Styela clava: one gene and its partner. The main gene of each other region encodes a partner of the protein of the gene in region 2 in a complex. Links are inferred from orthologs where the notes say so. Each region holds a gene or a part of one and is shown on either strand. Other genes may lie near its edges.

Region 1 (15,852 bases), on a different chromosome or scaffold from region 2:
CGGTTGCATATTTTTCAATATTTTCAAGATAAAGAAGATCAACAATGGCTCCATGTTCTGAGTCTGATTTAGTCTCTTCTGTTTCAGTTAAACGCTAAAAACAGAGTATGCGAAGTTAGGAGCAAGAAAGGGCACAAAGATATAATATACTTAAATGCATGGCCACCTGAGCATATACACATTACTATAACTGCTTGTGCAGGGCCACAAAGTAAAAGGCCTGTCTATATCTTCACATCGTTCGGAAAAATTTCGAAGCCGATAGATTATTTGAATAGTTTTGAAATTTAAATTCTTGATTTTACGAATAATTCAGGAAAGGGCTATTTTTATTTGAAAAAATTTCATTTCGATCAATTGATATCTCAGAGTTCGACCCAGAAGCTCTTGATTCAATTTCTGAACAATGTTAAAATAAAAAAGCACTTCTAAATCACTGAATCTCAACATTTCTGAACTTCAAGGACAAATTCAAATAAAACATTCGCAATACTATCTGGTATTTGTAGCTTATTGTTAGCTAGTTATTTTTAAGGTGTGGCGCGAGACTCGATCAATTCTAAAAAGGGAAGGGCCTCAACAAAAAAGGTTTGAGAACCAATGTTTTAGAATGTATTCAGAATAGGCCTAGTAGATCAATTGGCTTGGAGAGAAGGGTAGATAGAGGTAGAAGACAGATAAAATATTATTAATTGAACAATAAATATGCTTATTAAACGCTACACTTAGAACTACTATCCAACCCAGAGGTATCACCTTGAATTACATATTTACCTTTTGTGTGTATATACATTTCCCGGTTGATAAATTCCAAACTCTCAAATTTCCACTACTTCCAGCAGTTAAAACATGCGAAGATTCATCGGAAATTGCAGTCTTTATAAGTTTAGTAATATGTTGGTTTGGCAAAACTAATAATCCTTCAATAGTCTCATATACAGGGATTGTTTTATTTGGTTCGACAGTGTTTTTGTCTTTACATTGCGACAAGTCCCAGACACACAACACACTGTCTCTTCCTCCACTTATTAAAGATATTTGAGATTCAGTTTTTGTAATGAATGAAAGTGATGTAACTGCACTAACATGTCCATTCAGCATACAAATGCATCTGAAAACAGAGAACTAGTTAATAAAAACTGAAACATGAAAATTAAGAATAAGTGCAATCTTTGGCAATGTTGCCATATCAGATGAAATATCTCGGGATAACCCTCTGCGCACCACATCATGCAGAACTGGAGAGATTTCCAGCTTTTTAAAAAAAAAATTACATTTATATCAATGGAAGCTTGTTCAGAGCGTTATTCATAGCGAACGATGTGAAAGTATAATACGATGCTGTAATTCTTCTACTGTAAAGTCTCAGTAGCTTCTGTACCAGTGGTCGTACCAACTTCTCTAGTCGACGGGCCAGATGTTAGAAAATGAAGTTCCCAGCAGGCCGGATTATAACATGAATAGTATTCAATATCTTAATCACATATTTATTAACTAATGCAAGAAAGAAAATTATAAATCGTGTTTAAATTGAAAATTAAACTAGAAAAAAATAGAGACCAAAAAACTCATAATGAATTTATCATAATGTACTAAAAGTGTAATAATGTAATATCATAATGTACTGATGTACAGTCAGCGGGCTGGTCAAAATCTCGTCGCGGCCCATGCCCACCCCTGCACAAGACTCATCAAACAAAGTATCACCAAATGAATAAAAGATCATACCTGCTCGTGTGTAGATTCCATATTCTAATAACATAATCATTAGACGCAGAAAACAATTGTAAATCGTGTGGATGGAATTTCACAACTGATATTACACCTTGGGATCCTCTCAGATTATGAGTGCAATACTGATGCAACATATCCCATATTTTAATGGTACTATCACTGCTTCCTAAATAATGAATAAGAGAATAGCTAATTACATGTTGATATTTAGATATTTCAGTAGATTTAGATTCAGAGTATGTGGATAAAGGTGCAGCGTGAAAACGTACATAGTGTGGACAAAAATATTATCCAAACATAAAACCATTATTAATCAAGCCAAACTCACACTCATGTATAAAGCGAATTTTGTGATTAGGATTGCACAAAATAAATCTAATTTCAGATTGCATTTGAAATGTGCTTCATCCATCGCTTTGACCAATTGAATTTAGGAAATTGCCAATTTGTGCATTTCAGTTTTAAATTCGTTCTCCATTTTTTTTGAATTCAAAAATATTTCAACTTCTCATTAAACTGATGAATTTGATTTTGATAAAGTTTGCCAATGTAAAATTTACTTTGCAAAACTTCTTTCAAGTAGAGAGCAAACTATATATTGCATTGCTAAATTTCCTTTGAAATGTAAACGAGAATATCGGTAGGAGACCGAAGACTTATCAATCGAAACTACGGTTTCGATTCATGACTCTATAGTGACACCGTGTGTCCCATCACTAATTAATTAATAACTCGCTAATTTTATGACATAATTCATCCAAAATCAATAGGCTTCTGGTCCGAGATATGATGAATGCTAATGCAAAATTTGGAGCAGATTCAACCACGCATTCGTGAGATATCGTGTGCGTCTAACAGACAAACAGACAGACAGAAAAACAGACAAATAGGTATCAACATGCTTACCGATCTAAAGATCGATAAGTAACAATTTTGGGAGTTTTTTATGAGCTGTATTATCAAATCTTTTTATTTGACTACAATTACTTCTGTGCTCATACCTGTGGCAAGGAGTGTAGATGTCGCATCAAAATCCATGCACAGAATTGGTGAAGTATGAATTGCTTTCCATGTTCTCACACATTTTGCCACCTCATTCTCAATTTTCCATTCTTTCAGTAACAAAGATCTTGTGGCAGAAACAATGATGTTATTATCTGGACTAGATAAAATACAAGTGACATCATCTCCCTCCTGGTAAAAAACATAAAAATTTGAAAAATAGAAAAGCAGATTAAAACCAAGTCTATAGCAGTCAGTGGAGTCGGATTTAGGGGGGCAGAGTCCAATATGGATAACCCATTAGTCGCGGATCAGAATTTTCAAACTTTCAATGGCGATAAAAGAAGAAGTTTTCAAAGTAACTAAAACAGTGTTATCAAATGGGGCCTATAAAAGACAGCTTGTGTATACAAAGGCTTCCATATAAAATTTGATATTCTCGGAGTTTGGATTAGCTAAAAATTCACACCCAGCCCCGACTCCAAACGACGAGATATTGAAAAATGACTCCCGAAATGACAAATCATTTGAATCCAACTTTAGCCACATATTAGAAGAAATTTCAACTCTCCAGCTTCGAACTTAATTTTGTTAAAAGACACAATGCCGTACACGTTCCTTCTTAAAGTGCCCATTGAGACTGCTTAGTTAACTCAATGCAATTTGAGTTTTCCTAAAAATTTGTATCTCAATTATCATCATTAATAAGGGTCTAAAATGGGACTTGGACTCAAAAAAATTAGAATGTCAACTCATGTTCAATATCAAGAAAAATAAATAAGATGAACTCAAACTCCACAGATCTGGGTATGATAGTGATTATGAATTTGCTTGTTCACAATGATATAGGATTAATCATCATTCAGAAACCTGTCGAGTTTTTTCAGTTCGACCTCTCCAACATTATATTGCTGAAACAATGATAGTCTTTCATTTTTATTCATATTTAAATTGAACAAAAATCACCCCAACCTGAGACAAACTGTGTTTTACTTCTCCAGTTTCAATATTAATGACTTTGACAGAATCTCCACATGAACATAACAATGTTTTACCATCATTATGACAAACTACTGATCCTCCAGTGTAAAATGGCTCCCATTTATGCTTCACTGCAAAGCTAAAAAATAACAGAACAATTTAGTTATTAGAAAGTAGGAAATGAATAATGACATCGCGGGTTACACATTTCGGGTTCATATACCATGCCCACCACCTAACCCAAGGTGCAATAGATTGGGTGGGCAAGCAAAACTAGAAAGAGAACAATCTTTAAACACCTAAATTATGGACCATTAGTTGATAATAAAGTACAATTTTGCATGTTTTAAATCATTTTTTAAATAAGAGGAAAAAAACTTACTTTGTTTTGAGAAGCAGTTTTCCAGACAACTTTGAGTCCATTTTCAATGTCAGACACAAAAATCAAAATACAGGATAGGAAATTGATTCGCAATATTAAATAGATTTGAATGTGTCTATGGAAAAATGCATTCAGAAGATTATATGATTGAAATTTCAAGTAGTTAGCACATTACACCACTCTACACAAACAGCATGCTCATTGGTGCGAGTAGGCCTATAAGTCACAAATAAAAATAATTCCGAAAGAAAGATGGTCAGCCATTATTCACCACTTTACAAATCAATAAAGTACAAAAGATATTCAGTTAAACTCAAAGAATTGATCTCGTAGTTTCCATACACAAGTGGCTTGTCTAGAAATCTTTTCTGAATGAAAAATATCCAGCATTAACCCAGCATATGTTGTAAGCAAATATTTAATGAAAGGTGAATAAAAATGCTGCAATATCTGAATATATAATCACACAAATAAAGCAACAATTAAAATCTACTAAATTAAACACAAATTGGGAAGCCGAAAAAATGGCATTACTGGGGTTTAAAAGCATTGTGATAAAGAAGGGATATTTGATCTATCAATAAAACACACCACATGGTTATAGTGAAACATCCTTTTTCAGTGTTTGAGTGAAACTTTGAATATTAAAAGATTATAATTTCCGTTTCTGTGATGGTAAGTCAGCAAGACACATTGACAAGTAAAGTTCATTCTGATTTCTCAACACTGTAACATGCACACATAAAGCTTTTTGGTTGTCCCGATAAAAGTAGTGAAATTGTTAGTTGAGCTTTTACTATCCTACATATTCCGTTTTAAAAATGTTCTTTCACATCGCAGGCTTTGGTTGTTGGGTTAATAATAGTCCGAAACGTCTCTTGCAGGCGATTCTTTGTTTCGAAAACTTGTCATCTGGAGAAAACCTTGCCGGATGAGCAGACTGGGTTGGCGAACCATCAGGAGCGACCTTTTTCATGGTGTAAACTCGTTTACCATTATCGTCCAAATAATATTGCAGAAACATCTTTCTATTCACGGTAAAACGATAATGCTGAAAGATTGATTTCGGTAGCTTGAATGAACAGACAATAATCAGCAGAGCAAATTTTCAACAAGTCAAAGGGAATTTCCCCACAGCACACACGTGTTTTATGTCTCTGTCACTAGTAGACGCTGTTGCAAATTTTTGAGTCCGGCCCGGTTGCCGGTATCGGGCCTGCGCTACCAGTTGGGTAAATCAACTTATTTAGTTGAAACCAAAAAGCATAAAATGATAAATATTATAGGGCTATGCTGTTAAAAATACGATAGAATCAAACGGGAAATTTGAAGATCCAATCATAGCCGAGTAACGGCAAACCAAAATGTTCATTTATTCGACTCTAACTTTTTATATGTAAATACGTTTTGTTTTGTTTTCTGGTTGGCGTGTTTGGAGAAGGCCCTCTCTTCACGTTAATATTTTCATAAAGTTATAATCCTTTTTTCAATTGCCACTACAACTCAATATTTTCGTACGCTTTTAATCACTATTGCTGTATTCTCATCTCAACTCTCCGCTCAACCATTAATGATGGAACGATACTATTTTTACTCACTCTGGGATTTAGATTTCGTGAAAACACTTGGCATGCGCAGCCCACGGAACAGGGGTTGAAACCTGTGCGTTTGGGCGATTATAATCTCGGTATCAAGGACAATAAAAAATTTTTGGACGAATGACGGTCACTCGACTTTGAAGTCCCATTTTGTCGTGAGAGACAAGTGAAAATAGAGAACTAGCTTGGAGACAGCGTGTCCATGACTGGCACAGTTCTAGAAAAATTCGCCGTAGGAAATCTCGCCGCAAGAGCGTTTTGCTGTAAAACAAGTATTTGTGATAAAAAGTTAGGTTTTTGAAGTACTTTTTCATTTAAAAAAAATTGCTAAGGGCATGCCCTAACCCTATAAACCTGACCGTTTTTATCCCAAATACTTGTTTAACAGCAAAATGCTCTTGCGGCGAATTTTCCGGACACGGTATAGCCCACCTCTTCATGCGTCCAACCAATGAGAATATATACATCTTCCTTGATCCACAACAACGGTCAGCTTGACCACAGAAAGATTTTTCTATACATCTCACTCCTGTTAACTAATCTAATCTGGCAATCTTTACAAAATTATTGATGTGGTGTGGCAAATTTCTTTCTTTATTCGTATTTTTTTCCCCTTTCACCAAGTAATATATATATATATAGTTTTTTCTCTTTCAACTTTATTGTATCTCCGACACCGTGATTGTATATACGCGTGCACGTATTAATAATTAATTTAATGCTTTTGGGTTAGTGAACGCGCACCTCTCCTCTTGACAACACCTTTCAATCCATACGTTTTAAACCTAAAGGTTTTGTTTGCTCTCCCGATTCTGTTTATTCTGTTCTTATCAATTATTTCATCGTCTGTAATGTAGTCAAAATAAAGTTTTACTTATGAGTGGCACCAGTCACGTCTCACCAATCAGTAAAATGACATTCCGATATTCTGTACACAAATGGGATATTTCATCTAGCTCTAAGTTCCAACAGATAAACAATCTTACTCTCTCTGCGTCATTATAGAGATATCCCATATTTCTTACAGATAACGTTTTTGTGTGACCATGGGAAATTAAGCAATACGTTATCAAATTTTCATTCAAAAATTTGGCATTTGGTTTATTTTTTCAATATAAAAAAGACAGCGGGTTGTTTATTACAGCAATTACGAAACAAAACAAAAATTAAATGATGGCAACGATCTGTTAGACCCATATCAAACAATGTGATAATTATATTTTTGAAACAGAGATATGAGATTCACTGCACAAGCACCAGTAAGACATTCCAATGCACCACATTTGCATTGATTTAAAATCATATTTTTGTATTAAAAACATTTCCAGAACAACTCCATTGTTATATTTAAATGCATTTCAACTTCAAATCAAACTATTTCATTTATAACATTGACCGTCATTAAAATAAGCAAGAATTTAACAAATTTGAAATGGTTGAGTACAGAACCAGCAGTGAATAAAATATTGCACGATTTGGCAGAACAAGAACAATGGCTTTGATGATTTTACACAAAAACTGTATGAATAATTTACCTAATAATGATTGAACAAAACTGTTAAATAAATCTATTTCTGAGGACCAGAAGAAAACATATATATTTCAGATCAACTTGTATCGATTTGCAACATTTCTAAACCCTAAAATGCAGTTCGAAATGAAGTCTTTTGAGTCGTATTTTTGCAACTTGACTATGTCAGGTAAGTCAGATAATTTCAACTCGAAATAGAGTTAAATAGGATTAGCTTCGCAACATTGATAAAGCCTTAAACACCTTTACTATCATTCATTAATTCCTATTATTGAATTGAATTAATTAATGAATTAATTGGATAGTTACAGGTTTTACGTATTTTTACCAAACTCGTAGAAAATGAAAATTATTAAAAGTTGATCAAGTAAACCTAGAATATTGAGAATGACCAATAAAAGGTAATTTTTTATTGTTTATAAGACACTGGATGACCCATTCTATTGACACGACAGGAATCTTGAGTTTCTCCGCTCTTTCCATGATACTTTGATCACATGATGAATCAGCAACCACAACGTCACACGATAGAGAACAATCTGTAAAAAACATGAGAGATTTTATAAAACACTTAATTTGGTGTTATCAGTGACTAAAAAGAGCAGAAGCGTTGTGAATAACAAATAGGGAGAAAGAATGATTCGATTATGTTACTGGGTTCATTTACCAGAGGTGCGAAAACTGTGCAATGGGGGTGCGAGAATGCTGGGCCATTAAGTTTAGCTGAGAAATAAAGATAACACAGTGACAATGACAGCAAAAATGCATTGAACCTTCTGCCTCCCTGTAAAGACATGTCTTGCAGTAATTTACTGACTGGTTATAGATAAGGGCCCGAGCATCTGAAACAAATAACTGGTTAACTGGGCAATTTTTTAGGGTTGGACTATTGAGGTTTGGCGCTAGATGCTTTCAAGTCACTTCTTTCCGATTTTTTTTTATTTGCTGCTGCGTTGGTTTTTTAAAATTCCCAAGCAACCCAACAAAAGATTGTGGTTTGTCATTTGATAAGATTAACTCTCCCCGGGATAAATAAAAAAAATCGTAAGTTCTAATAGGACTGATGAGCTATTGCCATTGGAACCTAAATTGCCAGAGCATTGAAATCAATCAAACTTTTTGACTCGATTTGAACAATATTTAATTTTAATGCTTTTATCATACCAGTTTTCAATTTATCCTTCCTTGTTGAAACTGATATACAACCAGCAATGCACAGTAAAGGATTCCATGTTGCTAGATCTCTCATATGTAAACTGACACGAATACCAGACAGTGGTTGGATTGGAGATATTGGTCTAGAAAAGTTATGATTTAAATATAAATATTGGAATTTGGGCTGGGATACACTTCAGTGAAACACTTTCAAAAACGATAGAAAAATATGTGCAATTCTTATCATGCGAATACACATTAGAAAAGGGAATAATACTTGGAATGACAGAACTTGCAACCGTTAACCATCTGATAACAGTTAATCTAATTATGGTTACCGGTAATCCTAATTGGAATTCATCACCGAAAAGACAATTGTTGACTTAAAACAATGCTCCAAAAGTTTAAACATTGGGAGGCGCCCTCAGCTTAATTTACTATTCTAGATTACTTACATTGAATCAAGAATACCAAATCTTCAAATATCAATATTCTATTTTAAATTACAGTTTGATTCGATGGTGAGGAAGAACGTTAATGAAATTGAGGTTGAACTTTAACTAAAACATTGTTTACAACTCCTAAATTTATCCATTACCTTTCCACAATCCCCATATGTTGCAAACTGTATCCAGCGGGCAAAACATAGGATTTTATTGCTTTTAATCTCCCAGCATTTGTTGAATCATTGATCCAGATATAAGATATGCATTGGATTCCCGCAGCTAGTGCGTTGAAATAATTCATTGTTCGACAAAAATTATCTGATACGACGTAAAGCTCACTTCGATCACATGACATCTGTGAACAAAATAATATATCACAAATGACAACACAAGAGTTTTTTCAAGATATTCAGAATATGCTCAATTCGATAACTATTTGGTACTCCCGTAGTATGTGTACCAGCTGCCACGTTAGGGCAAAATGCTTATCCGATTTTTCTTATTTTAGTTATATTATGAGTTTGGGGACTGTTTGTGTTAGCCAAGTGAATATACCCCCTGCCCATAGGTTTCAGTCCCTTTACACAACTTGATGTAAAGTAGGCGACCAAAATTAGTTACCTCCATATTGGTACACACACTTCTAAGCGCCAACTATTCTTCTTTTTATTTAGCACATACCTGACAACCGGGTGAGAAAAAGATATTTAAAAACTCAAGTATATTGTTTAATAACTATAGATTCAACAAAAATCAAAAGCTATTTTGGAATTCTAATCCAACCCCAACTTCCTGTTACCAATAAATGCAGGCAGTCAAGTTGACTAGACAAGTATTAATTATCAGGCCTAAGTTTTGTCGACATAATTACACAGAGACAGAGCATATAAATCAGTTTACCAACTGCGTGAAATCCTTGACAACAACACCATCCCCAGCATTGATTTGTTTCTTCAACACTTCCCTGCGTAAAAGATTGAAATAAAAGTTGTTCACATCCAAACAAATATAAAATCAACTATCATCTCTCAATATATGGTCTTGTATCCACTTAGCCCCCTGTACAGAGCATGTAAACTGATATGAAACTCATGAGTGTCAGTATAGTCTAATTGAGCACACAGCAACAAAAAAGCTCCAAAGCGGTCAATTAGACTTTTGGCTGCGCAGATGATCACGACAGATAGTGACAATGGGCAAGCAAAAATGCTTCGGTTAGTGAAGAACCGTGAGAGTTACGATCCTGTAACTTCAGGGAAAACAGAAAAATATTGCCATGCTATGTACAATGTAAGTGAGGAAAATTAATAACTTCCAATACCTGTGGCCTTCTTTCAAAGAGTTCCAAAGAGTTTTCAATAGTGATATTTATAGCATATTTAACAATAAGAAGCCAATTTTTTTAATTAATTTAGTCATGGAGAACGATAGCTAGTGAAGGGCTTGTCCGTGTCTCACTAGGGGGGCCGAGGGCCCAATTTGAGAAACCCTGCTCTAAATTGCAATATCTTCAAAAATAATTACCAAGTGTTGCTGGTTCAATTTTATCAAAATCATGCAAACTGATCTTCACTAGTTCATCAGTTCCAAAAGGAAACAATTTTTGAATGTAAAGTTTTGGTAAACTACCTTAATCATGGTTTATTACAAGAATGTGCAAACTACTGCCCGTCAACGAATTTATGCACCCCCCCCCCCCTGCTCTTGGAAAAGGGTTGTGAACATTTTCAAAACTACATACAAAACTTGGATTTATTTTTTAACTTCATTTAAATTATCTAAACTATGATTTGTTAAGTAATATTAATGTTCAACAATGCAAGCCACAACTGTATTCGACAATATCATAGCGAATAGAATTAATAACTGTGACATTACAATCAATTTCTCAATGCAGCCCTTTGCCAAGAATATTTTCTGATGAACCCCGCCCTTCGCAAAAAAAAATTGCCCGCCCTGGTTTATAATATATTACCTGTCATATCCATAAATATTGGTGCAAGGAGGTGAATCAAACTCGGATGATGGATGATCTTTTCCTGTTGTTGAAGTCAGTAAAAATCCACATTTCTCAAATAGTTTGCTTTCTTTGTATGTCATGGATGCTAAGAAAACAACATTTATTTATTTAATCTATTTTTTCGAAGTGATTCAAAACTCAACTGTAAGTACCGGAAAAAAAATAATTAGCGCACATTGCAGCCAAATATATACAAATCAGTCAGATTTATAAAATTTAAAACTTCTGTAAATCCTTTTTCCAAACAGCAAATAAACCAACATTTCATGGTAATTTACCATTTATTCAACTATAGGCATTCACTTATTTATGATTCAAGTTGAAAATATCTGAATAGAGCAAAGTTATGAAGAAAGTACTTTTGTAACATAGGCAACACCTCACTCAGGGTGTTATAACTAGGGTAGGCAGGGCCAAACAGAAAAGATTACAGTCCTTCTAAATATAGATAATCCAAATAATTGTTTTTTTGTGCGGCATGACGCCTAGTTCACCTAAAAAAATAATGAAATATGTCAGTCATTATTAGAGATGGGCAATTTAGAATACCAAATCCGGAGGATCCGAATCCCAAAGTATTGAATTCCCAATGTTTAGGACATTTTCAATTGATACCGAAGAAAGTAATGCGTTTACAATTTTGCTTTAATTTCCAATCCAGCAATGTGGTGGGGAATTCCCGCTATTCAAATAACTATAAAAACAGAATACGATTCGGTATTTTAGATTTGATTTAAGTATTCTAGAATAGTAAATTATTCTACATTGCCCATCCCTACTCATTACTTATCGATCTTGATCGGTAAGTATGTTGATAGGTATTTGTCTGTTTGTTTGTTTGTCTGTCTGTCTGTTAGATACACGCGATATCTCTCAAAATCGAGGTTGAATCTGCTCCAAATTATGCATGTGCATTCATCATATGTCGGACCAGAAGCCTATTGATTTTGGATGAATTATGTCGTATAATTAGCGAGTTATTGATTAATTAGTGATGGGACACACGGTGTCACTATGGAGTAAGAGCAAATGAATCGAAACCGCAGTTTCTCGTTATTGTTTTATGATATCGCATAATTCACAGTATTACAAAATGGTTGATTCATCTGAAAATATTTTCACATTTGACCTCACCTTTAGATGGTGTATTCGAAGATTTTCGTTTTGCTGGAGTTCTTGGACTCCCGTAACTAAGTTTCCCTCGTTTTGATTTCTTAGTTGTTGGGAAAGGTACACAGGAAGATGACTCAGAAGATTCTGAATCTGCTCGACGTTTTCTTGAGGATCGAGGAGTTTTAGAAGTCGTGGAAGATGGCGTCCCTGGTCTGGATGCGGCAGGGCTGCTCACAGCAGAATCAGCTGCTCTTGACCGACGTGTACGTCTCTTACCATCCATGATGTTATCTGTTTGAAAAAATTAAATTCAGTGATTTTTAGAACTAAAAGAATACACACTGTAAAGTGGGCAAAATTTTTAACAGATCTTAGCTTAGATTAGTGCTCCCCAACCTTTCTACCCTGGCAGACCAGAAAAATCAAATAAAATGTTCTCTCAAACCAGCAAAAATTTTGAAATGGCTGAAACGAAAAAATATATTAACCAAGTAGTCTGTAACTAGGTGCCAGGCTCAAAATCATGCTGTGAAATTACTCTGCGCCAAGACGTCATAGGGCCATTAATAATACCACACTTATCAAACAGCAATATGACGGTAGAAGAGAAATTGCCTAATAAAACAACGCAACTTTGGTAAAACGATTGAGACAGCAGAAAAACAACAAAACTTATCATGGACCGGCAAAGAAGCTTCTCGGACCGGCATCGGTCCGCAGACCAGCGGTTGGAAACCGCTCTTTTAGATACGGAAGAAGTTGGCTAAGCTTTTTTAATTAATATCCAACATAATTATCCTCTTTTCACTTCTGCTATGCCATCATACTTGATTCTATCTAATGTTTTAACCACTGCGTGTCAATAGCTGCATTTTTAATTCATTTATATTTATCATGCTGATAGGAGTCGAAAGGAAAAGACTCGAAATCTAATCTCTTACCCATATTCTATTTTGCATTAATTATCCTGCCTGTCATTCAAATAATTTTTGAATACTGTTTAAAAGGCGGTTGGTGCATTGTGTCAATCGTTAGGAATAAGCTTGCCATTATACCTCTGATTAACCTTCTTAGGTTCAAGGAACCCGGCAAGAATAATTATGTGCGAGAGGTTTGCTGGACTTTTCGCCATCATAGGGTGGTTTACATAACCAAACCATAGGTCGAGTAAGACTCCATTCACCATTAAGTCCACTCATCGGAAACAAACAGCTGGCTAACTATTATGGATACATGAGAGGACATGGTTTGCCACATTATAATACCATCTTATTGACTTTCCTCTCCCTCAGAATAAATATGAAAATCCCATCTTATTACCAAATCAATAATGGCATCATACCCAAACTAACATCTGCTGTAGTAAGACCAGATGCAGGCTGCAGCTTCAATAACTTCAAATCGTTTGACAAGTTTTCAAGTTTTACAATAACTTGTTTCCTTGTGTACCTGCAAATTGGAAATAAAAGCAATGATGGAAAATAAAATTGACAAAAAATCTCTTTTCTACAGATAAATTAATATAAAGAGTCACAGTCTAAAAATGGCAGTGCAGCAGGTGTTCATAAAGTTTCAAAAATTTCCAAATTCTGTCATGCAGTCTGTTCTCAATATATCTTAACCAGTTTTTTTTTTTATTTCAATCAATGCTCATTTACTTGAGCTCTTTTACTTCCTTTAATACACTTTTTAGGACCACAACTAGTTACATGTACATGAAGTAAATGTCTTTTTACCTAATTTAATACAGGACTTCGTGAACATCCTATTATGCCAATTCTTTATAATTGCGCGAAAATTATATAAAAGTTTTATCTCACGAATAATAGGTAGGATAGGATGAGATTTACATATTTAAGATAGGATTCACAGAAAAGTTAACTTAATCATAATATGGCGAACCACGACCTCTTGTCCGGTTACCAGTCCATGTCGAGTATGGGATTAGTTAGCCAGTTATTTGTTTTCGGAGCATGGACTTATCCAGTTATTGAACTCTTCGATAACTGTAATACCAACCTTTTAGTCTTATTATTTCCGGCTGCAGGTTTAGTTATGACATATCCTCGTTTATCATCATCATCTCTCCAGTAACTCACTATTGTGCCTGAAATATAAATATTGATATGATAAATGTACAAGTAACTGTACAATTTACTATTCCAAGTACACGAGAAGATTGTTGAATATGGAATAAATTGGGTCATATTGAACAGACAATTTTACATAACTGTTGTAAAAATTATGTTGGCAATGCAGTACGCTCAAGATAAAGATTGTTTTTATTGATATTATTTCACAGTGTGGCAAATAAAATTGTGTTCATTTTTTGTTCGAATGTCCAATGCCGAAGATGACAAATTTCCAAAGGAAGTAATTACTAACATCAGGAATATCTGAATTCCGAATGTACTGTTATCATTCTGAACATTCCTGAAAAGGCAGATATCACAAATTTCAACTCATCAATTGTAATCGTAATCACCTGCACTGTACCACCAATCAGCAGAATCATCCGAGTCACTCTGAGCATAAACTTCTTGCCCAACAGGCAACATATCGATTAATAAAATATCAGTTTCTCGTATTTGTCTGTCTCGTCCATCATCTTCAAAATACACAGTGTATTTCCCAGATTCAGAATCTTTTGTTTGCAACAGACCAGGGTAATAGTAGCACTCCCTAGCTGGTCGAGCAAGGACAGGTATACCTAAAAAAGGATAAATGAGGTAATAAAGTATTATGCGTCCGGACCTCCTGAAGTATGCGCGCCAAGATGGCGGACAACCTGAACTCAGGCTGTGTAGCATGTTATGGTTCAGGTTGTGCGACATCTTAGTGTGCATACTTGAGGAGTACCATACGGACATTAAAACTTAATTGGCCAATTCAATAGGCCATTGAAACATTGACTATCAAGTGCGCATAGTAAGTTCACTGTGAAAGTGGCCTATTGCTTCAAGAATTGCTCGGAAAACAAGTCGTCAAGCTGTTTTAACTTGTTATCGAGTCACATTAAGTAATAAATATTGACCGAATATGTATTCCTTACAATTCTGTGCCACAAAATTAGTTAGCAAAATTGAAAAACAAAATGGGAATTTTTACAGGTTTCGTGCAGCGTTATCCTAATGCCAAATTTCTGTAATCACTACACAGATTTGAGCCTGGTGAATAGCGCATAATTTTATGCCTTCCTACAAGGTCATTATGTACGCGGTTTGGTCGTCATTATGGAACTGAATTTGGTCACTAATATGCAAGTCTACTTCAAACCAAAATCTGAGTCATGGACATAATGGTTAAAACAAATTGAAGATTGTTATATCATAAATTTCCTTACTTAGATCAATTCTTGAAGGATCAGAAGTCGACTCTTTATTTCCATTCACACTTTCATCTCCTTTTACAGCCGAACTATTATCGAAAGGAAACGACGTCATATCAGTACCATGAAGAGAATCAACAGGGAAAGGAATTTCTGGTGAATTTGACGTCGTTATATCCGAAGCAGAATCATCTTTTTGTGATAATATCATGGGAGTGCTTCCTGATAGCGGTGGATTGATGTTACTTGTTGGTGGGGTAGCGATGTCCCCGCTCATTTTGTTACCCAGAGCCCCAATTTGGCAAGAAATTAATTCTGTAGAAAGTGGGGTAAGAACAACTCGACCCTCTTTCAAAACTGGAGAAGATCCCTGAAAAAGAATAAAATTGTTTTAATGTTATACCAAGCTTATTTTCGCTTTTCACTATGGACAAGGCCATGTGCAAACAAACAACAGATATCTAATGATATGAAAAAAGCTATTAATTCTGCAAAGACTGGAATATTTCCAGTTCAGCAATGTTGAACTCAAATAACATGCCATACACCTCACTCAAGTTTT
Region 2 (17,370 bases):
AAACATCCGAATAAAATCCCGAATTCAACTCGATATTCGACAATTCGTTAAAATTATTCGATTCGATGGAAGTATACTATTTTATCCACCCGAGCTGTAATCACGCCAGCAATCTGGCGAAACGCGTGATAGTCCAAACAGTGATGCAATGAAACTTAATGAAACCTTCATAAATTTAGTAAATTGCACTACTTATTGACGATTACTTCATATCTCGAACACAAAAACGGTTATCTTTTTTTAGATAGTTTCTGATGATTTTAGAAATGGGAGAAACATATTGAATTGTAACAAAAATGAATTAGGTTGTGAAAAATTGACACTGCATGTGATAATAATAAGGGCGTAACGTAGAAAGGCGAGCAAAACCTAAGCGCGTGATCGGAGGCGCGTTTGAATGCCACGTATTACCCGTGCGGCCGCGCAACGTTTACAAAAATGTGAGGTGCTCCGAAGACGCTCTCGTTTACATTAATGCAAGAAAACAGTTGTAATATCGGCAACTATTAACCATTTTTTGCGTTCGACTATCGCACTCTTTATAAGTAGAAAATGTTTGCGTTTTGTGATAGGTGTGCCGCAAATATTTAAATAGCTAAATAGTGTGCCGCCATAAAAAAAAAGGTTGCTAACCACTGTCCTAGATGCTCTAATATATCTGTGTCGATATTGCATGAAATAAATAGGTGATTTTATTGTCATGCAAGTTGTTTCAATGTTTTACTTAATCCCGAAAAATTCCGGGAATATACGGTTCAATACCGGGATTTCAAAAACTTGCTCCGAAATCCCAACCCTAGTACTATGTGCTATCAAACTCCTCCGTTATGACGTAGGCCGCCGTTATGAGGTCATAGACTTAACAAATATCCAACCGTTCAGGGTTTAAATGGGCATAGGACCTCTCACCAAGTTCGGTTGTCAGGCGAATACCGGTACTACGAATCAATAAGAGTTAAAATAAAATGACGTCAATACTTTGTATTTTGCAATTTGCTAATAATATATTTATATTGGAATATATTTGGCGGACCGGCAGCAAGGTTGCCTCGGACCGACGGTTGAGAACCACTGGTCTAGATATCAAACTACCCAGCGTGTATCTTTTATGATGAGATGCAGAATCAACCTTTTTCGCTGCAGTTACCGATAGAGATTTCATTCTCTCATTCGTAAGTTCATGTATCACACATATTTCAATAGATATTTCAATGTAAGACTAGTAGTATCTTTCAGAAATAGTCTTCGCAGGTTATCATCAGAAACCCCGATCAAAATTCTGTACAAATAATTGAATAGATTTAGCTGACACCTGTGCTCTCATATTAATTTGATGTCTCGTTAGTTCTATGTTTGACTTGGGTAGGCATATTTTAGCAAATTTACTTTTCATACATTCTAGCTAGATCATTACGATACCCAGCAGAAATGTCACCTCTTGCTGACTCCTATGTGAAAGACTCATTTTTGGGCCTGCCCTTGTTTCCAACCAAATTGAGCAGTATGCGTGTTTTAGCTTTGTCATTCAGTGCTCCGGTGAAAATATCATATTCACGAACGAATGTTCTCCAGTTTTAGCAACATTTTCATCAAAAATCAGAGGATCGACTTCATGTTTGTTTATTGGTAAACACACAACTGTTCCGGAAGCTTGAGTGTGTCATGGATATAACACAGGCATCATAAATAATAGCACTAGGCAGCATGCAGTACCTCAAGAGAGAGAGAGAGAGAGAGCTCAACAGTGGCATCAAGAGACATAAATCATTAATAATGACTTCATAATTAGCATCTTACATATGTCACGCACAATAATCAATTTTCCACGTTTTCACAGAACTTATTTAATCTTTAGGTTTATTTGTTTACTTCTAGAGGTGATTTGTACTGAAACTTTACGCCCAGAAATCAATTATCCACGTTTCTACGGCGTTGTTTGTAGCTTTCTTTTCTCCATTTTTCTTGTATTCGACTATAAACATAATCAAATGTATATATAGGGCTATAGAAGATTTCGTCAGACTTTGGTCACATTAACATATTTTTATTGTATAGTTAAGAGTCGAATTCGAATTACTTGTTGGTAATTTGAAAAAGGGGACATTTTAGTCAAAATTGTTACTGGTGCTTGTTACACAGCATGTGAGGTAAAATTCAACGACAGGGAGCGAGTTAATTGCTAAGTAGGTAAAATTCTTATGTTGAACTGATTATATTCACTAATGATTTTGCTGTTTCACCCTACCCTGACTCAATATTCGAAATTGTATTTTTAATTGAATTATTTTAATCAATATTAAATTTTGATTTACTATATTCAATCAGTATTTTTTCGTTACGTCATTGGTATCATTCATAGTCGCAAATTATAGTGTTATTGTATATTGATTGTTAAATTGATTAAATTGAATTGATCCCAACTGAGTTATTAAATGTTTGTGTTATTCAGATTCATATATTTATTTTCGCCGAGCAGGAGACAGGCACGGATGGTTTACATTTATTTGTGGAAAATATATATGTAAGGAGTATTTATATAATATTTGTCATATATTCTTAGTGTAATTGGATTGTTGCACTAGGACGATTATGGTTTTCGAAAAATGATGGCACTTAGAATGAAACAAATTAAATCTTAATAAACCTCAACGCAAACCTATAGATAGTTGAATTTATTAATCTATGATTTTCATTTCTTAAACATAATCTATATGCTTCCATGTACAGTTTGGAGAGATTCAGACTAAACCTGCCCGCCGAGTGTTGAATAAAAACAATGCAGTACAACATTGGATGGATGTGATGGTGTATGTAACCGCATTACATCTTGATAATAGAATCCCCAGCCCACTCCCATACCCCAGTAACGGGCTACTGCAACGTTTAAGTTGAAATGTTATAGAACCAAAACTTTCATTTTGGAGTATTGTAAGTAATTTGAGTAATATTTTTCAGTTCTACATTATAAATTTAAAAATATTTCAACCTTCGACTACAATATGGCAATTTGTACTGGTGTAAACCTAATACTTGTAACGTTTATTATATATGGAGATTTTTCGGAAGGTAAAACTTGCGGAACTCCTCTGAAAAAGGACATTGAATGGAATAAGGTGAGTGATTAGTAGAAACTATGTTCTATGATGATAAATTTCATTAACTTTATGTAACAATCTTTTAGCTTCCAATGGGGCCTTATTATGATGTTCTGGATATCCCCAGATCACAAAAGCCAGTGGGGTGCTGGAATATTCAGAATATTACCGAAGAAAAAGATCGCGTGGTTATAGATTTGGCAACATTTTCGAGCAGGTATAGTATACCACTGCATTAACTGCCTAAGCATAATCACATAGTTATCACAATCACAGCATTTTGTTATCAGGCAACTCAGCATATTACCTATTCGTGTGGAGTTTTTCCGTACAAGAAAAAATGGTGTATACAAGATCAATAGATTTAGTGGTGAGTATATTTGGCGCTGCTATGGGTATTCCAACTTCTTACATATTATAAAAACTCACGTTGATGTTTCAACGATATGTTCTATATTTTGTGATTCAGAGTTGGAGTACAGAACGGCGTTTTATCATTTCAATGTTGATAGTAGCGTCGGAATACGGAAGCTTGCTCGTGCGGGTATGAACATTCTTTTTTTCTCTGAAATTTTTACTACTTGTGCTTTTTGGTGTTTCTTCTACTGGGAGGCTGTGTTAAAAACCTATTACTTTTTTGGCGAAACATTTTCGGGCAGTGTTGACTTTCACTGGTTTACATTTGTACACGTGGTATATTATTTTTATTTAATAATCATTGATGCAATTGGTATGGAGGCTATATGAGCTAAAATTAGATGCCCGTATGGCAGTTGCTCGAACATTTCTATAATTGTATTTGATCACAATGATGTAATCGAATACCAGTGGCAAGTGATGTGAGCCGTCGGTCAGTCGTAAAATTTGGGAGTCTGTCAGTCACGTAATTTTTTGAAAAGGCTCAGTAATTGAAAAGGGTTGGGAACCACTGCCCTGTGCGCATGAAAAGTATTAGCTTTTAGTGGGAGAACCCCGTAAATCTTACAAATTGACAAGCATTTAATTTAAAATGTTCTGATGTCGAATGAAGATGCTGCCGGCCTTTGTGCAAACATACGTCGGCAAGACTCCATCCTACTCTGCCATAGTGAATGATTATGTAAAGTAAAACCGATCTCATAAAATACTTTATTTTGGCTGAAATCGATAGCCAATCTGTACGAGTACAATAAAATCTTTCCTCGGGTTTACAGAGGCTGCGGACCTTGCTCAACACGAATTCATATTTCTGACTGACTACCAGACTTATTTCATGTTCGTCGGTTTTCAAAAAGAAGGTAAGTTTGGTAGATTAAGGGCCATCGCAGACTTTTGATTTAGAACATGCTTTGTTAATTGTCTCCTATATAATATGTGTGTGGATTTTGATTTTCAACAGCTGCGGCATCTTAAAAATCAACTTGAAATCAATTGTCTCGAAATAATTTGTTTTTAACACGGTTATTCATTACTAAATGATTTTTTATTAAACTTATATAGGCGTATGGTTTACGTGTGGTCAGAACTTTGAATCTTTTATTTTAATTGACTCTATCTGTCAACTTGTTCAATTAGTATTTAGTTCTATATTTTATTTTCATTGTCAGGTTGGATAGCGTACGTAAAAGCGACCACACCACAGATCACAGTCAGTCAATTAAACGACATATCGAATACACTAGTTGAGAATGGATTGAAAGCGTCGGTGATGGTTTTAAAAAATGAGTGTCTGAATGATGGCAATCCGGGAAGTGGTGTTGTTATTGTGTAAAAATATTTACGTGGCATATATCAAAATATAGTTGTAAATAGTCGGAATGCTTCAACAAAAATTAATGTACCATTTATTTTTCGTCAATCTTATAATAAGATTCACAAATCTTCATTTGCTTTCAGTCACAGAGAAAAAGCAAGCAAAAATTTTAGAATGGGTCATAGTATCATAAAGTATAAACAAAGTGCAGTTACAAAATATCTACCAAAATTATTGCAAAACCCTATTTGTGAACTTTAGAAAATTTTTCAGTAGGCCTACGTAAAGTGTTATCAAGAAAAAGCCTTTTTTTGTTATAATTGTACGTGCATTCGTTGCATAACTATCTGGTAAATCTTCTAGGAATGACATTATTTGGTCGTACCGATATCATACTTACAACCCCATGTGTATATTCCTTAATATATAGCTCAATAGGCATGCTGCAAAATTTTTTTGGACTAGCACAAAAGTTTGTAGGGAATATTAGTAATTTGCACAAAATGATGATTCAGATAGATCTAAACTAGTCAAAAAACCTTTTTCTTATTCGAAAAAAACTCTCTTACCTAACACGTTTGTACCACATAAGCTAAAACTCTAATTGTCCCTTTAGCAAAAGTATAACTCATTTAACACGTCACTGTGAATCTGTTTACGATAGCGTCGAACTTCTATATATATAAGTCGTACGCTATTGTAGCAGTGGGCAGTGACGGGTGAAGAGTGGAGTAAAGAAGTAATCAGCATCAACAATGTATTCATTAATATAAAATAAAGATATCCTAGTTTTCTAATTGCTCGATTTTCTTCATGTGTATTATCTATTGTATTTAAAATAGTAAAATTAGGTAACGATTCCGTTTCCGCTGATATGTACAATGTCAATTCTGAGACACGGTTGGCTTTGCCATTGAAACAAAACTATATTCTATTCTTTTATGACTTCCCCAATACAGTACTTTGGTTTTTACAGAAACACATCTTCTTAGTAAGTCAAACAAATAACACTTTGCAAATTAAGCCCTATTTTTATCGTAAAGCCGTAGAGACACAAAGCATATATATGCTTCTTTTTTAATTTGAGAGTAACCAATGAATTTCATTTTTTCCTGTTGCATGTTGGTCTGAAAAAAAAATGCATTCAAGTGGTAATTATACTGTACTATAAGAGCATCGTCTCATGGCAGGAGGTTTTTGTTGATCGCTGACTAGGCCCTTTTTTGTGTTGATAACAACAAGAATATTTACAAAATCTATAGGTGGACGTTTAACGACCGAAAACTTTTGGGAAGGACATAACTCTTGCTTAATTTGAATATGCAAACATTACTTACTGCTCGTGCGTTATAATTGAATTATAACAATGTCCGAATCTTGGTGTGTTATTGGTCCCTTCTAATATAAAGTAATCAAGACTTGGGGAAGGTGTCCTGTGTGACACGACAAAAAACTAATAAAATTATTTAAATACTTACTGTAATTCAGTTGTGTCAGTTTTGTCGAGCTGGCATTGAAAAATAAAATGAAGTAGCCTTTTATATCTTCTCTTAAATGCGGGATTCATAGCGCCATATATAATAAAATTTAGACAAGAGTTTGTTAACGCCAGCCACACTAAAAACTAAAAAAATGTGTATGGTATTACATAGCACAGGTGTTTGTAAGTAATAGCAACATATCCATTCATTTACTTCAATGTTTTTATATGATTAGTTTGCTACGAGTACGTTGTTAGAAAACATATACTGCAACCACTACACATATGCTAGTATTTGAAGTAAACGTTAAGAAATGATCGATTTCTATTGAAATTCAATATTTGAACAATTAAGCCTATATGCAATCATATAAGATCTAATAAGTAATGACATCGTGGTGATAACTCATTTCATGATATTAATATAGGTAATTATGTAGGCTACGTACGGTAACCGATTATTAAGTAATGTACTGTTGATATGCATAAAGAAGTGATTCAATTTTTGTAATAATATCATTTGAATATAGTTTATATCTTTCTTCAATTTTAGAAAGGGTTTAAATTAAGTTAAAGTCAGCCGTTATTCAGATTTCTCGAAAAATAAATTTTTTCTTCCTTCTATTGTTTTCATACCGTTAATGTTTAGTAAAACAAACACACCTTTTTCAAGTGTGGCCTTATATCTCCTGGGTTTATCATAACATGTAGGGCATATGGAGTCCAACACACAAAGAATATTACAACTGCAGTAAGCAAAGTGTATGTGAGATTTCTTTCTCTTCTAAGCGAAGGTTTTCTATCAGAATAATTGGCCAAAGATGTTGAACCCTTTTTCCTAAGGTTTCTAACCCAGCTTCTGTTTTTGTTCACTTTTCTATAAAATCAAAATGATGAGATGTATTTTCGCAATGCTCTGTATTAGATATTTTTATTCAGTATTTTATTTCTTATCTATATTATTAATTATTGTTAAAATCTTTGATATATTTTCACTACAATAAATTACAGATTCGTTACATTACACACATATAAATTTCCGAAAATTGTGATGTCGCTGATTTGAAAATAACTAACATACACCGGTATCGGTACATTACTATACTCACCTGAGAATTTCAAAATAACAAAATAGTATAGTCATCAAAGGTAAGACTACGGCTGCCAGAATGAGGGCAATCGAATATGATAATGAAGCCATGTCATGCCAAGCACAAATCAACGATTTTGCATCATATCTAGAAGTAAATGTTAGTGTGTAGGTATATATATGTCAGAAAAGGGCATGATCTTTTATATTTTAGACAATAGTAAGTCTAAGTTCCCTATGGTAAGGGTGACCAGAAAGCAAAAGCAACTTCAAAATGTATAAATATGCAACCTGATGCATTTATTTCTAGCTTTCTCAAATGTGTATTCTTAAAATAGCGCAGAGGACACTAAGAGAAATTAAATATTGGAGAAAAATTCCTGATTAAAATTCGTTTGTGTAAATGTGACTCAATGCGAGAATTTGGTCAAACCGTAAATAATTGAAATCTTTGATACATTTTTTCGGGTTCATTATAAAATGTACTTACGTGATTTCTCCCCATCCAGCCAATGTTGGCATTGTGATTAGGCATGACCAAATCCATGACATTATTGCCATAAAGATTCCGACATTTTTAGTGAAGTATTTTCGATAAGAAACTAGTTTTACTATCGCCCAGTATCTGAACAAATAATACATATGTTTAGATTGTTTACTAGTATTGATTTCATGGTGCGAAGAAACGACCCTAAATAAAAGTTTAAATGTTTATTTCTGCATCTAAGATTAACTATTTGAATAAAACTACTTTAGTATTTAAACGACTCTAATTATGTACTTTAAATAAGTCTATCAATCATACCATTTGGGAAATATGAAGCCTCGATTGGACTTAATTGAACTATGGTTAAAGGCCGAATGCCTGATTTTTTGGAAACTTGAAATATACACCAAAACCTTCTAGTGGGAAGGAAGAGACAAAAGAATGTTTGGTATGTCTATGAGGTGAGAACAACCTTATCGTCTGTTTTTGCTTTGTTAGACGATTACTCAAATAACTTTTTTTCTTACAAAAAAAATTAAAAACCATACCTATTGAATGCAATCAGAGCCATATTAGCCAAAGAAGAAACACAAGTAATGGTGACTATGAATCCAATTATCTGACAAAATATTCCATCAACGATTCTTTCGCTTCTTATTATTGATGCTGCTATGCAAGGTAAGGTCACGGAACACACCTACCAGTAGAAGTCAATGTGAATGAAGCGTAAGATTTGCTCTGAAAGCAAATACTGTAAGATTCGTTGGCGCGATATAAATATATATATCGATATTTTCGCATATTAATCTAAATTCTAGTCTAGGAATAAAATTCACAAAGGCCAGTTCGTGTTTTTCAACAAACTGACTCTTCTACAAATACCGTTATTCATATGAATTTATTCTTGCCCTGAATGTAGTTAATTTTTTGTACTCTTTATTAGTGGTATATCAACCAATAACAAAGAAAATTGCAAGAACATTTTATATTCTTTGTAAGACTCAAGTTAGGATTATCTCACCAATACATCAGCCACTGCCAAATTAATGATAAAGATATTCCCAGATGAATGCACTTTCTTCTCTAGCACGATTGAAAATATAACGATCAAATTACCGATTGTTCCGAGAAGTATTATTGACATGATGTAAATAAACTCGAAGTACTGTGAAACGAAAAAAAAATTCTGAATATTACAAAAATTAATGAAAATAGAAATATTTTGCGCTTTGCATTGGTTTTAATATTTAAAATACTTGCCTGCAAAGTTCCAAAATTTGGCCAGTAATTCGTGTCGTGATGTTGTGGGGAAACTGTAGAATTTTCATCTTCCATCTCGAATATTATTTAAGCTCTTGATGCGTCAATTTTCAGCTATGATAAAAACTAGTTCATCCGCGATCCTTTCTCTGCCAGCATGTACTTTTTACAAATACAAATAAAATACCACCACATGTTCAGGCGGATCAGCTAAAGCTGACTGCCCGAATGTGCCATATATCAACTCGCAAATTCCGACAAATAATAATTGATGGTAAACCACTCTAACGGTTCGAGGAAATGATGAATTGTTTGATCTTAGTAAATACCACACGTTAATGGTCAGGCTGTGAAACAACTGTAAAATAGACAAAAAAATGTGTAGAATAGAACGTAAAATTAACACTCTTCTGTTGCCATTTTGATTGAATTGTATTATAGCAAACAAATATACTAAAGGTGTATTGTGCTCGTTTACAACTGGTTGTGCGTTCTAGTGTAATTAGATTAGAGTATGTGATATAATCGTATATCTATTTCTTTTTATTAATGCTAAACCCAATTGAACTAGCAGGATGAACTTCTTTACAGTGCACGTAAGAAAAGATGAAATGTAGGCAATACTTATACGGTCAATAAGCATACAAGGTATATAATAATCATATACCAGTTAACAGAAAAATGTCTTATTCGTCATGATAACCTATTAAAAATCTATTAAGGTTGAGCGAAAAAGTAGTTATTCACATTTTTTCCCCTTGCTTGAAGGAAATTTTTCGGAAATACTACAAATGTTTCGAATTTGAGACATACTTGAATTTGAGACATACTTTTGAAATTTAACCCCAACTTTCCGTGCTCGATTATAAATCATGCGTAAAAACGGTAAGAACAAAAAAAAAGCACTTTGATATTTAAATGCCAAACTGAATCCGGGTAATAAAACGACGTTGTTTACTAGTATCAAACATTTGGTAAATTCACCAATAATTTCTCTACAATGAAAAGATTTTTCTCAAAGCCATATTTGCAAACGCCAATTAGATCAAGATTTTTATCTGTCCCAAACTCTATATTCGAACATAAAAATTTTAACCAATTATTTTGTTGTATATCGCAAATGTTTATGATATGTCTAACAGTATTTTCCAAGGACACAATATGTTGCCTTCCTGACACGACATCATTAGTTGACGTAGGAAGCGCGTAACTACGAATGTAAATCATGTTTGCTAAGCATAGAACACAATATGGCAAGTATGTTGTTTAGAAATAACATCATAGCATAAAACAAACTTTTGTCCGTTTGAATTAATAATCTGTGTATGATAAATTTCACATAATGATACAGATACCACGACGTTTTCTACATATTTGTCTTGCAATAAAGCAAATTCGAACATGTGAAGTGCTTTAATTCAGTATTCTCTTTTGTTATATACCAGACATAAGGAGAAGCTTCAGCATAACAGTTTTCTCATTCACTCAAACTTCAAACAAACTAAATTCATCATGATTGCAGACAAACATAGCATACTAGTTTCATGCTTAAATGTTACGTCAAATTTTTCTTGCCTAAAACGTCAACGATATTTCACCCAAACCTTGTTTTTTCTCATGAGTACACCTTCATGTAATAACATTCGATGCATTCGGCAAGGAAGTTTGCTGTAGCCATTTGACTTTCATGCTGACAAAATTATACTTGAACAAGCTTTCTTGATCCCATATAAATTTACTACGCGGTAAAATTGTATGCGCGTTTATTGAAATACTCATGCACAATTTGGACACTAGTTTTTAATATACATTTTACTGTAATTCCGTGTTTTGTGGGACAGTTCGTTTCAGTTATGTGCCTTATCTTCACACATAAGCTTCAAAAAACACAGATATGATTCCAAAATCAAATGCATTTGCAGCAATTGCACATTACAAAACTTGAGTTTAAAATATTCAAATTTATTGGTTTCTAGTGGGATAATATTGGTATGGATATTATTGTAAATAAAAGCATGTGAGATAATTGCTAACAAAATTATGACGATCAAAATTTATATATTTTCTGTAGGATTTCGTCCAATGCAATTCTGAAAGCCTGCATTGGGAAATACATTGGTACACTGGTAAAGAGATACCCCTACACAATATACGTGTACTCCGACAATAAATACTCCGACTTTCAGCTGTGTTACTGATATGCATCCTATACGACCATATCTCGAAATCAACTATTTTTATTAGACTAACATCATATGGGTGAAACTATAAACTAATATTGAAATTCATATATTATATACATAAAAAAAACATAAAAATTTCCAAACAATAATTACATAACAATTTGTGAAAAATATTCACGTAAACAAATATGATTGAGTTTAATGAATGACCAACGAATAGAAGGATGACAACAAAGACGAAGCTCTTTGACAACCATTTTTTCTCATTCTTCTTCTCTGTTGCTCTTGCGATAATTCGTTTTTCTTGACGACATCACTGAGTCACTAAATCAAAGAAAATTGAAATTCCCATTGGCGTTAGAAGTAACACTCAAATGAGTATACTAATTAGTTTTCTGAGAATGCACTGAGCGAGAAGGTTGTTTTGTGAGAGCGTACTATAGAAAGAATGAAACCAATAAAAAAGACTATTTTTTAAAAAAATATTCGGCTCAATAACATTTTTTGTAATTCCTTGAGTAAAATATTTTAATATTTCGGTTAGTTAGTTATAAAACAAAATTAATTCATATAATATTGAAAATTAATGTTAAAAAAACTCTTTTCTAAACTCACCGCATTGATTCAGAATGTCCAGTGTTCTTTTTTAAGCAAAAAATGAATCTGAAGAGTTTTTTGTATCTTTTTTTAAACGCATTATTCATTGTTCCGTATATTATAAAATTCACACATGAGTTGCTGAGTGCCAACCACACAAAAAACTGAAACAAAAATTAAAAGATTTTTTAACATCTTTTTATAACAATTACATGTAGGTTGTACACGACCATGAGAGGGTAACTTTGCTTGAAACTGTCATTAACTTATGGATTCTCGTACCCAAGATTATATATGGGAAGTAAAAGTCTCATAGCTCGTCATTATAGTGTAGAAAGCTATTTAGTTTAGATATATATTAAACTTCTAGGCTACCCTCAGGACTGCGATTAATATTCTAAGGTTTGGGCATTAGGGCACTCGCTTGTGATTTGAAAAAAGTCACAATCAACAGAATTATACCAAAAATTGCTATGAGGCACTTTCTTGAATGCTGATCCCAAATTTTGATTCACTTTACCATTTAGTATCGCAAAACTGAAGTAATGTCAAAGATATTTTACCGATTTGATGAAAAATAAATCTCTTTGTGAGTGAGATATCTACCTACCTTCTTAGCATGTGGTCTCACGTCTTCAGGCTTTATTAAAGCATGTGCAGCATACGGAGTCCAGCAAACAAAAAACACAATCACCGTTGTTAACAATGTATTTATTAGACTCCTCGTCGCTTTCATTGAATGAGACGCAGCGCCTTGCGATGAAACACTCCTTCTACCGAGACTTTCCACATTTTTACTGCTTTGGCGGACTTCTCTAAAATTGGTTTTCGAATAAATTAAGTGTGGATAAAGTTGAGTGATTTCCTAAATATTTTTACCTGAAAATTTTGTAGTAGCAAAATATGATAATTGCTAACGGTAAAAGCACTGCCATGCCGATAAGAAACAATGAGTAGGACATCGACTTTGTTTCGTCCCATCCACACACCAACGACTTTGGACTGTATCTAAGAATGATTATTTTATGGATTTGGTAATCATGGTTTATTACAGAAGTAAAATAATAAAATAAAATTTCCTATTCTTACATGATTACGCCCCATCCTAGCAAGAGAGGCATTGTTAGGAGGATTGACCATGACGCGATTGTCAATGTAATCCCGATACGTTTAGTGAAAATTCGACGATGGGACGCAGGTTTCACAATAGCCCAGTACCTTGAAAATAGAGAGGAATTTTTGAAGCGTCTTTTCAATTAAATCAATATTGCATTGCAGATAATTAAATCTCTTATGCTTACATTGTTTGCTTTGGTTGGGAGCAACATTGACTTATTTTTAATTACATGAAAAACCTGTTGTGAGTTCGAATATACGGATTATGTACCATCTTTTAAAATATTTATATCGGTCAATTTAAATTTAATGCCTATGTATACATACATACATACAGTAATTTAAATCATCAAAAATTTTTGGGAACATAAATAAGGATTAGAGTATTTTAGACTTTAGAGTATTATGCGATATCATGTGAAACAATTAATTAATTTTTACATTAGTTACTGCCACAGTTAGTGTAAAGTTTCTATCTTGGAGGATATTATTACTCTAATTTACAGAATGGACTAAGGTGAGTGGATGGTTTTGTAGAAACTGTTTCCTTACAGTATATTGTACCTAGTGAGAACTGAAGAAAGTATAGTTAAATGAATTATTTGCTTGTGTACTAACCGGTTAGCGGCAATCAATGTCAAATTACATAGAGAGCAAGCACACGTTGTCGTAGCCAATAATCCGGCTATTTTACAAACAACGTCGTCTAGTGTTCTATCTCCTTTTATTACCGTTGCCGCTGTGCATGGCAGAATGACGGAACATACCTGTATTTCAAAATAGTTATATTCGATAACCGCACAAAGTCTCTTTAACAAAAGTTCACCCGTTTGCGGTGGAATGAATGAGTGATAAGCAATCAAATTGTTTGAATTTGTCCGCTGAAGTGGGTATTCAAAAGCATGTTCGCTATTTCTAATTATTCATAGAGCCAAACCTCGGTATCTTACTGTCATGTGGACGCGAACATTATGATAAATATGAGCAAATTGAATTTATTGAACAATAACTTCAATAACCAATACTTGCCAAAAAGTCAGCAATTGCCAGATTAATTATGAATATATTTCCGCCAGAATGTACTTTCTTGTCTAATATAATGGAAAATATAACGATGAGATTGCCGAAGGTTCCAATTATGATCACTGCGAATAGGTATACAGCTTCGAGGCACTAAAACACAAAATATATAAGTTGGTGATTTGGCTAGAGTTTTGTTTAATCACATTCACAGCAATACATTTGTATTTACAATTTAAAAAAAAGACAAAATGCAAATATTATACCTCAACTAATTTCAAAACTGTTTTATGATGTGCACTTTTGATACAGATGGAATTTTCTATACCTACGGCCAATATTGTTCTACAGTAATACCAAACAGACATTCACAAATCGGATTTCCGAACAACGGTTGATTTTTCAAACTGGGCTTTAGAAAGGGTACATGATTAATAAGTCCGCGTAAGAAAAACCTAAATGAACGACAATCATGAAATTGTTTTGTTATCGAGGAAAATGTAGTGTATTTCCAAAACAGCGATCTTATCGATATGGCTATTCTTACAATTGAAAAAAGAAATTCTTCAAATGTTCATTTTCAATAAACTATCAATTAATTTGAAACTTGAAATTTCATTTTGAATTAACCAGATGGCACGTCGCATACTATATGTGTACTTATTTATCTAATTACTTTCAGGTGTAATCGACCTTCTGGCAATAATTCTTATCTTATAAATTGTTTTCAGTACGTCAATAGGAAATAAATGATCTAGTCAAACAATATCCATACGATATGTTTGGTGCGCTTGCAACTTCATGTATTTATTTGTTTTTGCACATTTATGAGCAACTGCGAGTTTGAACTTCACTTTAAGATACTTTTTGATCAGTTTTTATGTACTGATTGATTCATGCAAGAATGCGAGAATTTATATTTTAATCACTTGTACTTTCTAATTATAATATTATTGCAAACTCTTGTAATTCAATTCTGCACATGATTCACATACTTTGATCTATAGATTCATACTGCAATAAAATTTGATTATTCATGAAAACAATATTATAGGCGAATAGATCATACATATATATTTGGAACACATTAAAATTAATCTTACCTGCAAAGCTCCAATTTCTGACCAATAAATCTCTTCTGTGTTATTCATTCTATAAGTTCATTAATTTTCTACTTTTCAACCAACCGAAATTCAAATGCTTTTATTCGAAATATAAAATGAGCTTTGCATACGCACATGTAGACGATTATACTTATATAAAAGATCATTTCAACGACTATATCGACACTAACCAAACGTAAGGTATGACATAGCCCATAAATGCTTCCTTACTCATACAAACAAACAGATTTTTTATTGGTACTTGGCGTCTTCCGATAATTTGTTTCTATTGTTGACGTGTTTTGAGTAATTACGTCTATAAAACGACTCGTCGTAAAATATAGATTTCTGTTTTCATAAAGTGAATTTTTTGTATACTTCAGCGGGAAAAATATAGATTATAATAGATTACAATTATTTTTCATGACGTGATTCAGTGTTGTACGTCAGATCAAAACTAGAAAACTATCTATTAGTTTTTTGAAAAATCCTAGTACTACTGCATTTTAAGATAGCCAAGTGTTAGTACTATGGGTGGGGTCGTGGGATTCAGTTAAATTCGAAGTAAAAGAAAATACTTTATTCTCAATTACTGTAAAATACTACAAACTAACATGAATTGTGGAAAACACTCCACGTACAGCCATCAAATGAAACTATTATATTAAAGAACGAACAATCCTAAAATTGCAGACATACTGCAACGATGTATTCACAATTCAGTTAACATATAAATACCACGCATTTTATTAAATATCACACGCAGTGAATATTTTAGTCTTCCATGAATACTAGGTAATTCTAAAATTTAATTACTCCTTATTTTTATACAAATTTGGGAGCTCCAGAAGTATGTGTACAATATGGGGATAACTAATTTTGTTCGCCTACTTTACATCAAGTTGTGGTAAGGGACAGAAGCCTGTGGCAGGGGGTATATTCACTTGGCTAACATAAAAAGATCCCTAAACTCGTAATGAAACTAAAAAAGGGAAAAAATGAAAATAAAATTATGGCCTAACCGTAACCTGGTACACATAATTAGTACCCAAATTTGCACGACGCAAGGACTTGAATCCTAAAAGAAAATGGAAAGAGTATGAGAGTTTCAGTTGCTGAAGCCAGGGAGACAAATCATGTTAGAAAATTATCTCCAAAATTGCTCAAGCGGATTAAGATCAGTTGCAGTCACACCAGCCAGATTGTTTCATTATTGAAGTACAAACGTATCTTCTTAGTATGGCATATACGGTTTCTTAAATATTGAGATCCCGGCGTACCATCAAACGGGATTGATGTATATTGTTTCTATAAATTTTTTCCGTTAGACTAATTGATAAAATCATAATTATTGCTGAAATCTTGAAAACTTGATATATATCTTAAGTCGTATTAAGGTTGGTATATTGGAATCGATGTCACGAAAACGTTATCCGAAACTGTCTCCAATATTTTTAATATAATATATAAACCATTTTATACACAATGAACCGAACAAACTACGACTTGAGTTACCTTAATGCAACATTTTTTTCTGCAAAATACTCTGTTCTTTAAAAACCTAGATTTACGCTATAGTTCATTTTTACATAACTCCATTATCGCACATGAATGTTACTACAAAACTTGATTCTCACGAAACTACATTATCTCAAAAAAATTTTCGTGCCGAACTACATTGTCACCAAAGTCCGTCTACTAAAAAATAATCTGACGCAATCTTTTTCTCGTATTAAGAAAAATGATTTAGCATCACGCTATTTCTGGCTAGCAATCCTCAATGCTTTTTCAGTTACAAATAATAAGGCCTATAATTTTACCAAAGTTCAGATCAGATAGTATCATATAATATAATCTCATTGTAGTCTCATATTTGAAAATATTCATGCTATATATATATATATATCTTTATAAAATTCCGATATTTTTTCAAGTATATATGAAATCTCAACTGCCCAACAAACTACAGATCGGCATAACAAATACAAAATATTTTGGCAAAGGATGGACTCAATTATGTTCGAATTCATCACCTATTTTCAAGTACCTGTCACTCCCCACAACTCAACCATATTGTATTATCATAATTATTCGTTCGAGGAAAATATAACTTATAATAAATTACATTGGTATTTCCTGAAACAGCAGCAAAGGAGGTAGATTACGAGAATATTGAAACACACGCTTGAAAAATTGCCGAATACTTC

Evidence for each region.
Region 1: H/ACA ribonucleoprotein complex subunit 2-like protein (region 2) and H/ACA ribonucleoprotein complex subunit 3-like share a complex: the UniProt entries of both Drosophila melanogaster proteins name them as parts of the box H/ACA small nucleolar ribonucleoprotein (H/ACA snoRNP) complex. The link is inferred for Styela clava from reciprocal best matches to the Drosophila melanogaster genes NHP2 and Nop10.

What each region holds. Positions count from the first base shown.
Region 1 is NC_135263.1:5,478,978-5,494,829, reverse strand, and holds H/ACA ribonucleoprotein complex subunit 3-like, read right to left. Parts: upstream 5,241-15,852; 5' UTR 5,124-5,240; coding exon 4,929-5,123; 3' UTR 4,214-4,928; downstream 1-4,213. Other genes in the region: transducin beta-like protein 3, read right to left, coding at 1-94, 775-1,111, 1,729-1,900, 2,736-2,928, 3,709-3,856, 4,100-4,140; uncharacterized protein LOC120341376, read right to left, coding at 7,592-7,767, 8,393-8,526, 8,982-9,184, 9,730-9,793, 10,805-10,934, 11,984-12,253, 13,305-13,411, 13,982-14,069 and 2 more. UniProt on the Drosophila melanogaster protein: Component of the box H/ACA small nucleolar ribonucleoprotein (H/ACA snoRNP) complex, which catalyzes pseudouridylation of rRNA. This involves the isomerization of uridine such that the ribose is subsequently attached to C5, instead of the normal N1.
Region 2 is NC_135251.1:15,274,269-15,291,638, forward strand, and holds the start of H/ACA ribonucleoprotein complex subunit 2-like protein, read left to right. Parts: upstream 1-8,310; 5' UTR 8,311-8,325; coding exon 8,326-8,345; intron 8,346-17,370. Other genes in the region: uncharacterized protein LOC120336681, read left to right, coding at 3,000-3,113, 3,182-3,312, 3,386-3,465, 3,565-3,639, 4,289-4,372, 4,682-4,845. UniProt on the Drosophila melanogaster protein: Component of the box H/ACA small nucleolar ribonucleoprotein (H/ACA snoRNP) complex, which catalyzes pseudouridylation of rRNA. This involves the isomerization of uridine such that the ribose is subsequently attached to C5, instead of the normal N1.